Danio rerio: one gene and its partner. The protein of the gene in region 1 interacts with the protein of each later gene in a pairwise test. Links are inferred from orthologs where the notes say so. Each region holds a gene or a part of one and is shown on either strand. Other genes may lie near its edges.

Region 1 (3,832 bases):
TGGTTAAGTAAAAGGAGGGTTTATTTAGCAGTATTCACACTGTGATTTACAGCCTATTCTGACTCAGTGCTTTATGAGGCGTTCTGTGCGTTTAGAGTGGTCTCTCTCTCTCTCTCTCTCTCTCTCTCTCTCTCTCTCTCTCTCTCTCTCTCTCTCCTCTCTCTCTCTCTCTCTCTCTCTCTCTCTCTCTCTCTCTCTCTGGTTCTGCTACATTGATCATGACCGTTTGTCAACTGCAGGCACATGACAAGCACAAACAAAGATGCCTGCCGTAGTATTCACAGATTTGCTAACTTATTACTGGTTTGATTGCTTATAAAATAGTCACATTTGCAACAGAACCCGGAATGATGGTCAGGCCAACAAGGCACAGGGTTAAGATTAGGTAAACAGTGAGTTAGTTAGCATGAACAAACAGTAAACCCTACTTTTATAACAATTAAAGTAGATAATAATGCTTAATCCCTAAAAGGAATTGTGTTCATTTAACATTGGTTTACTACATGAGCTATTTAAACCAACAGTGATCTATATTGCTATATAGCATTTATTAATCTTAGTAAATGGTGCATAATCTTTAATAAAGAGTTTTCACTGATTAACATAATGCTAAATTAGTTACAATATTGTGTGCTTACAATTAGCAATATTGCTGCAACATTTAATAATAACAATGCTTAAACCACAAAATTAATTTTGGTAACACTACAATATGGTTTCATGCACTGTAAAAAAATATATGATCATATATAATATATGTGTTTAGTTCATTTTAACTTACTTAAGCTAAGTTAATCATGTTTTAACTTAGTATTATTATTACTATTATTATTATTATTAGGTTATGCAAGCTGTTTTAAGCCAATTTGATGTAATGTAAGTTCAAATGACTCATAAGGTTAATTTGATTCAACATAAAAAATTAAGGCAACCAGTATTTTTTTACAGTATATGTTAGTCAGTTACTGCAATCTATGAACATTATTTGTAAAGCATTTAATAATTAGTTAATGATACAAATCTAAATTTAATTGATTTCTTATTCATTTGTTATCATTAGAAAACTACAGTAGTTATTTTGAACTAATAATGAAAAGTACTTTTACAACATTTAATTATATTATTATCTTAAATTGTAATTTTTTTTTGTTGAATCAAATTAACATTATTATGAGACATTTTAAGTTAAACTGACTTAACAGGTTATTTTTAGAATAAACTCCATTTGAAACATTACTCAACCTATTTTTTATTTAAATTTAGAATAAATCAAGTGTAATTCACTTAATTACCATAGTTATACATACAAGTTTTTTAAGTTTAGAACCTCAAATAAATTAAGCAGCTGAAATTGTTTAATTATTGTATGTTTTGAAACTTGCTGTTCATTTAGTTGCATGTAAGAAATAAATTCAACAACAACATTTTTGTTTTCCAGTATTTTTATTTTTTTTATTTTATACCACAGTTTTTCAGTATTTTACAAAAACAAATGTGCACTGTCCATATAAACATTATGAAAAATAACAAAAAAACATCAGTGTGCGGACTCAAAAATACGAAACAACATAAAATGCAAAATAAAGAGCAAAATCTACTCTGAAAAATATTGTTCTTGAGACATTATTGAAGTTTCTAGAGGTAGCTTACATTCACAACATATATATGCCCATCAGCAGAGCACAGCACCTTGACATATCCATTCCATTTAGCATTCTGATGTCCCCAACCATGATGGTTTCCGTCTTGTAGTTAAATTCCAAAGTAGAACAATCACCAATTGTCTTCACTTGCCCTTCAAGGTCCTCCTCAAATTACTGTGCATTATTGTAAAGCACTGCTAACATCAACTGTATTTACCAGGAGTAGCCAACACTCCAGTGAGAAAATTGATCTAATAATTAAATAAATCTCAGATATCTGTCTTTAAATTGTATTTTGTGCCAAACAGTCTGCCTAAAACTTGAGCTTTGAAATCCAGAAGTCTATTTGTGTAGAAAAATAGTGTTATCCACCCAATTTCTTTGGGTTGCTACAATTTAAATATAGTTTCAAACTAATTGACAGACATATTTACCTTTAAATTAACTGCATTTTCAGTTGATGTAATTATCAATATTTCCCCGTTGTGAAAACGTAATGAAATTATTCTGACAACTTAAAAGTTTTAATCTAATCAGCAATTTAGAATTTTTAACTTACAAACATGTATTTTACTATGTAGTAATAACAGACATTTAGAGTTATTTTTAGAGTGTGTTTTAATAAGCAGCAAAAGCCTTTTTTTTGTCTTGGATAAGTTAATTACCATAAAACTTCTTGTCATGACTAATTGCTTTAAATTTGAGTTAAATTGGTTGACATTTTGGTCCCACTTTATATTAGGTGTCCTTAACTACTACTGTATGTACCCAATCTATACATGTATACATACATTAATGTGTTTATATTGGAGAACACTGGTGCTCTTGAGGTGGGATATGGGTAAGGTTAGAGACAGGTTTGGTGGTATAGGTAGGTTTAAGATGTAATTACTGATTAACAGTGTAATTACATAAATTAATTACAGATGTAGTTACATGTGTGCATTTAATCAATCATTCATACAATGTAAAAACTTGTCTTTAGACAATAAATGCATTGTATCGATTTATTAATTTCAGTGTAAGTACATATTAGTTCAGGCCACTTAAATAAAGTGGGACCGACATTTCACAAGATTTTTTTGTTTCTTAAAGGTATAGTTAATTACAGTAGTTAACACAAGCTAACAATGAACAACACTCCTGCAGCATTCAATATTGTTGGTGACACCTAATCCTTACAATTAACTGGGTTGATACTTTACAATAAGCTTTATAGTTAACTACATTTGTTTGTATGAAATAGCAATTAACAATTATTCAACAGGAATTAATAATATTAGTTCAGAATAATTGCAACATTTAATTAGTTTTTTTAAGTTTGTATTTTCTAGAATCAAACATAAAGAATAAGAAACCAAATTTCCCAGGTTATAAAAAAAGACAAATGGGAGAAAATTACAGAATAACATTGCAAAATGTGCCTTGCTTTCAGTTAGTCTGTTAGTTTGAATATGTTCAAACATGTTAACTTGCAGCTGGAAGGGCATCGGCTGTGTAAAACATATGCTGGATAAGTTGGTGGTTCATTCCGCTGTGGCGATCCCTGTTGAATAAGGGGACTAAGCAGAAGGAAAATAAATAAATGAATGTGAACTGTTACCGTTAGCAACTTAATGCACTTTACATTAACAAACTATAATCAGCTTTGTATTACTGGCTTTAATACAGATGAATAAACGCTGCAGAGCACAAGCTGCCATTGTAAGTTTATCTTAGTGATGCGTTTTTCTGTTTATGTGTGTGTCTGCAGGCGTTTCGGGACAAAGTGTGCATCGTGCCAGCAGGGGATTCCTCCTACACAGGTGGTCCGGAAAGCTCAGGACTTTGTGTACCATCTTCACTGTTTTGCATGTGTGATGTGCAGCAGACAGTTGGCCACTGGAGATGAGTTCTACCTCATGGAGGACGGCAGACTCGTGTGCAAAGAGGACTACGAAACAGCCAAGCAGAACGGTGAGCTGCTGATTCCAGATCAGGGGAAATCAGGCCTTCTTCAGCTGTGCATTCTAAGCTATCTAACTTCTAATAATCAGCGTGATTGTGTTATAATTTGAGGAAGTATTCATATAAAAAAGAGCATATGTCTATTAGGATTTCAGAAATATACTGTAGTAAATGTACCTTTTTTCTTACCAAAAAGATATAGAAATAGATAGAAATTAAAGTTATAAACTTTTTGACAGTGT
Region 2 (4,597 bases), on another chromosome or scaffold:
ACCCAGAAGGCATAGCCGTGGCTCTACAGGTAACTCACAGCCAAGCCACTCCTCTATTGTTTTTAAAATGTTACACTAGAATGGGTAAACTAGACAACATTCCCAGATCATGTGTAAATAAGTGCCCTCTTCTTTATTGCATTTCCAACACTGATTATTTCCAGCTAGTCCCATACTAGAGTCTGGGTGGTGTGTATTATTTTGTACTGAATGAACTTTCCTCTAACTTCTCTCATATTTTTACCTACATTGGAAAGGATGTCCAGCCACTCATTCTCCTCAATATCAATCCCTAGATCCTCAGATTATTCTCAAATTAATACTTCTAAGTTTTCATTGAGCATCATTTTGTAACACGTAGAAGCAGTCCTAGTATCCTGTGGTGACTGTAAATAAGCATATACAGGGTTGTCGTTCACGTTAAGTTTGTCCTTGATGCAGTGTCTAACTCTTCGCTGAGGCCATCTTCCAGCCTCAACCACGGCGAATGAAGCTCTGCACAAGACTTTTGGCCAGCGGAGAAATTAAAATGGTCGTGCCCAACTAAGTCTGGTTCTCTCAAGGTTTTTTTTCTTCACTCCCATCAGGTGAAGTTTTTTTTCCCTCTCCGCTGTCGCCACTGCCTCGCATGGTTCAGGATTGGTAGAGCTACGCATCGATGAATTGGCTCTTCAGTGTTTGAACTCTCTGTAATTATTAAATCACACTGAACTGAGCTAAACTGAACTGAACTGAACTTAAACACTAAAACCTGAACTACACTGTTCCAGTTACTATGACCATTTATGTGAAGCTGCTTTGACACAATCTACATTGTAAAAGCGCTATACAAATAAAGATGAATTGAATTGAATTGAACTAAATCAGAGTATGACATGTATATACCCTCCTCATGCAGATCCTTCACTTTAGCAATTCCTTTTAGTTGCCATTGTTTTCAAACCAAGTTTCCTTTTTGAAGTGTGTAATAAAATTATCAACACCCTGCTGAAAAATCCAGCTTAAACCAGCCTAGGTTGGTTAGCTGGTTGACCAGCCTGGTTTTAGAGAGGTTTTGGCCATTTCCAGGCTGGTTTACAGTCATTCCCAGCCTGATCTTTGCTGGTCAGGCTGGAAAATGACCAGCCTGGCTTATAGCTGGTTTTGGCTGGGCTCCCAGCCTGGCTAGGCTGGTCAAGCTGGATTTAGCTGGTCATCTACCAGCCTGACCAGCTAAGACCAGGCTGGAAATGGCTGGAAACCGGCATGGAAATGGCCAAACCCCCTCTAAAACCAGCCAGGTCGACCAGCTAAAACCAGCCTAGGCTGGTTTAAGCTGTTTTTTTCAGTAGGGTAAAACTTGCAACTCTAGATTTTTGGAAATCGAAAAAATAACAAAAAAACGTATTTTATTTGAAAAGTAACCCATTCACAAAACAAAATGTATGCTGACTGTACCAAACTGTGAACTATTTTTCATCGATCTAAAAAATGTGTATGATTCCCTGCTTCTGTAATGCCATTATACTAAAGCTATTAAGACATCCCAACTGCTGGAAAAAATACTTAATGTACATGATTAATTTTTGTTGTTAATTCACTTGTATAATTCTGAACTCCCCTGTTTACTCAATGGAAAGTACTAGACGACTCGAGCAATTCCACACTCCTGCGCAGCAGACGGCGGTAATTGAAAAAAAAAGGCTCATGCGCATGAGCGGAAGTTCGCCGGCATGATGTAAGATGCTAGAAAGAGTTCCCCGGATAGTAAGTGCAGTGCGAAGGTCAGTAGCGTAAAAAGCGAGTAAGTTACTGTAGAATACAGTACTCTTCTTATAATAATACTATTAAAATATAAAAAAATCAACATGCCGAGAGGAAGCCGAAGCAGAACTTCGAGGATGAGTCCTCCAAGGTGGGTAAAAGAGAGGAGCATCATGAGCTACGTGCTGTATTATCATGTTATCATTTATAATAATCGTGTGTCATTTACTCAACAAACATTTATAAACATTAGGCTCATTATAGTGACAATATATTGTTTCTGAAGTCTGAGTCCCCTTTGGTTGTGTTAGTTATTATTATAAAGAATAGTGGTGGTGATTGGAGAAGTGCGTGTTGAGTATTGAAGATGAATCTACATCAACTTTTGAGTATTTTTAATATTTTAAATATTTCATATTGTGATAACATTAGACATATTCACTGCTTGAAAAGTCTTATATAGCATTTCGTATGAAATAAAAACATTCTCCAGTGTAATTTTGTGTTTTGAATATGAGCATTTCCAGCGTTATGGATGTGACATTTGCAGTAACGTATAAACTCAAAACATAAATTCGCATAGAAAGTGTATGTTAATATTATATTGAAACTTCTGTTTGTATTATCCAAATCAACTCACCACAGAGTTAAGGGAGCTGAAAAATATACATTTGTAAACATGTTTTATATTTTAAATGAGGAAAATAAAGATGTGTTATGGATGTGACCAGAAAAGTATATGAATTTATAGTCTTCAACATATTTTGTATAAATTCTGTGAATTAAATTGCACAATCTAAAAGAAATAATGCTAATTAAAAAGGATTAGAGTTGACTCACTATAAAACAAACATGTTTGGTATTATTGTATTTTATATTTTTGCATTTTTGAGGAAAAAGTATCGTTATGGATGTGACATCTCTCCGTTATGGATGTGACAGATGTGAAAATGCCACTTGTGTGACTGGTAAATCAAATATAATAGTTTGAAAACATTGACAGAGACATTTCTGAGAATTTGTAAAGTACTGTAAAATACTTGCTCACAAACTTAGAAATGGTTTTTCGTATTTCGGTGAAAACGTCATTTTTTTCATGGCGAGGTTGACATTTGCATGAAATTGCTCACAGCGATTAATTAGAAAAACAAATAGGTGTAGAAAATGATGTCTACTTTGAAGTATTATTTGATTATTTAACCTTAAAACTGAGGAAGTTAACAGGAACAAAATATCTGTTAAATTGTTTACTGATATGTGAAAATTTGTATTTCTCTAACTAAGTTTGCAGTAAGCTTTAAGTGACTCCAGGCTAATATCAATCTCAATATTAAAATCTTAATGAACCTAATCAACATCTCCATTTATTCGTTTTTTTAATATAAAAATAAAATGAATCTGAGCACAGGTTAACTACTTTAGTTGTTTAGAACTGCAAGTTTAAATTTGAAAATTTGTGTTATTGCCAATATCTATGTTATTTTTTTTCCTCTTTACACCGTTAAGCTATTCCAGCGTTATGGATGTGACACTTGCATGGAGTTGCTGTGACAGATGTGAAATTGCCACTTGTGTGACTTTGTTAAATCAAATATAATAGTTTGAAAACATTGACAAGGATATTTCTGAGTATTTCTAAAGTGCTTTAAAACACAAAAAACTTTTTCGTATTTTGGTGAAAATGACATTTTTTTTCATGGCGAGGTTGACATTTGCATGGAATTGCTCACAGCATTAAATCAGAAAAACAAATAGGTGTAGAAAGTGATCTCTACTTTGAAGTATTATTTGATTTTGTAACATTAAACAAGAAAAACAAAATAATCTGTTAAATGGTTTACTGATATGTGGAAATTTGTATTTCTGTAACTAAGGCTGCAAAATACTGGTTAAGTATGCGATATTCTTGTTGAGTATTGCGATAACGATTTTTTTTATGATGTAAAATTTCTCTAGAAAAATAATAATTTTATTAGTCATGTTTTAAAGTCATTCCAAATAAACAGATAAGTTTATTTTTCAGATTAATTAATTATAATCAAGCCTAAATAAGAGGTGTCGATATATCAACATTTAGTCTTTAAAATGCTACAAATGAGTGAAAGGTGTATATCGCATATACTATTATAGTGATAATTTTTCAATAAGCTTTTAAGTGGCTCCAGCCTAATATCAGTCTCAATATTAAAATCTTAGTGAACCCAATCAACATCTCCATTTATTAGTTTTATATATATATATATATATATATATATATATATATATATATATATATATATATATATATATATATATAAAATGAATCTGAGCACAGGTTAACAACTTCAGCTTTTCTAAGAACTGCAAGTTTAAATTCGAAAATTTGTATTAATGCCAATATTTCGGTTATTTGTTTTCCAGCGTTATGGATGTCACACTTGCAGTAAAAACTTAAAACTTAAATTCGCATAGAGAGTATACGCTAACATTATATTGAAACACCTGTTTATATTTTTCAGAACAACATGCATTATGGATGTGACCCAAATAAAATATATGATTTTACTCGCTAGATATTTTCTCTGTAAACCCTAGAGATAGTTGTGCGTGAAAATCCTAGTAGATCAGCAGTTTCTGAAATACACCAGCCCATCTGGGACCAACAACAACAAACTCGGTTTGATCTGAAGCAGATCGTCATGACCGTGTCTACATGTCTAAATGCATTGAGTTGCTGCCATGTGATTGGCTGATTGGAAATTTGCATAACAAGCAGTTGGACAGGTGTACCTAATATAGTGGCCAGTGAGTGTATATCATTACATAAATTTATATTAAAAAAGGGTTAATAAAATAGCATTTCTCTAGGAAGGTT

The links.
Region 2: the proteins of lhx4 (region 1) and chchd2 interact in binary tests that used the Homo sapiens proteins (3 or more experiments, as listed by UniProt). The two-hybrid records come from large-scale screens. The link is inferred for Danio rerio from reciprocal best matches to the Homo sapiens genes LHX4 and CHCHD2.

Annotation. Positions count from the first base shown.
Region 1 is NC_133183.1:16,230,428-16,234,259, reverse strand, and holds part of lhx4 (LIM/homeobox protein Lhx4), read left to right. Parts: intron 1-3,396; coding exon 3,397-3,599; intron 3,600-3,832. UniProt on the Homo sapiens protein: May play a critical role in the development of respiratory control mechanisms and in the normal growth and maturation of the lung. Binds preferentially to methylated DNA.
Region 2 is NC_133190.1:6,040,998-6,045,594, reverse strand, and holds the start of chchd2 (coiled-coil-helix-coiled-coil-helix domain-containing protein 2), read left to right. Parts: upstream 1-1,752; 5' UTR 1,753-1,847; coding exon 1,848-1,894; intron 1,895-4,597. UniProt on the Homo sapiens protein: Transcription factor. Binds to the oxygen responsive element of COX4I2 and activates its transcription under hypoxia conditions (4% oxygen), as well as normoxia conditions (20% oxygen).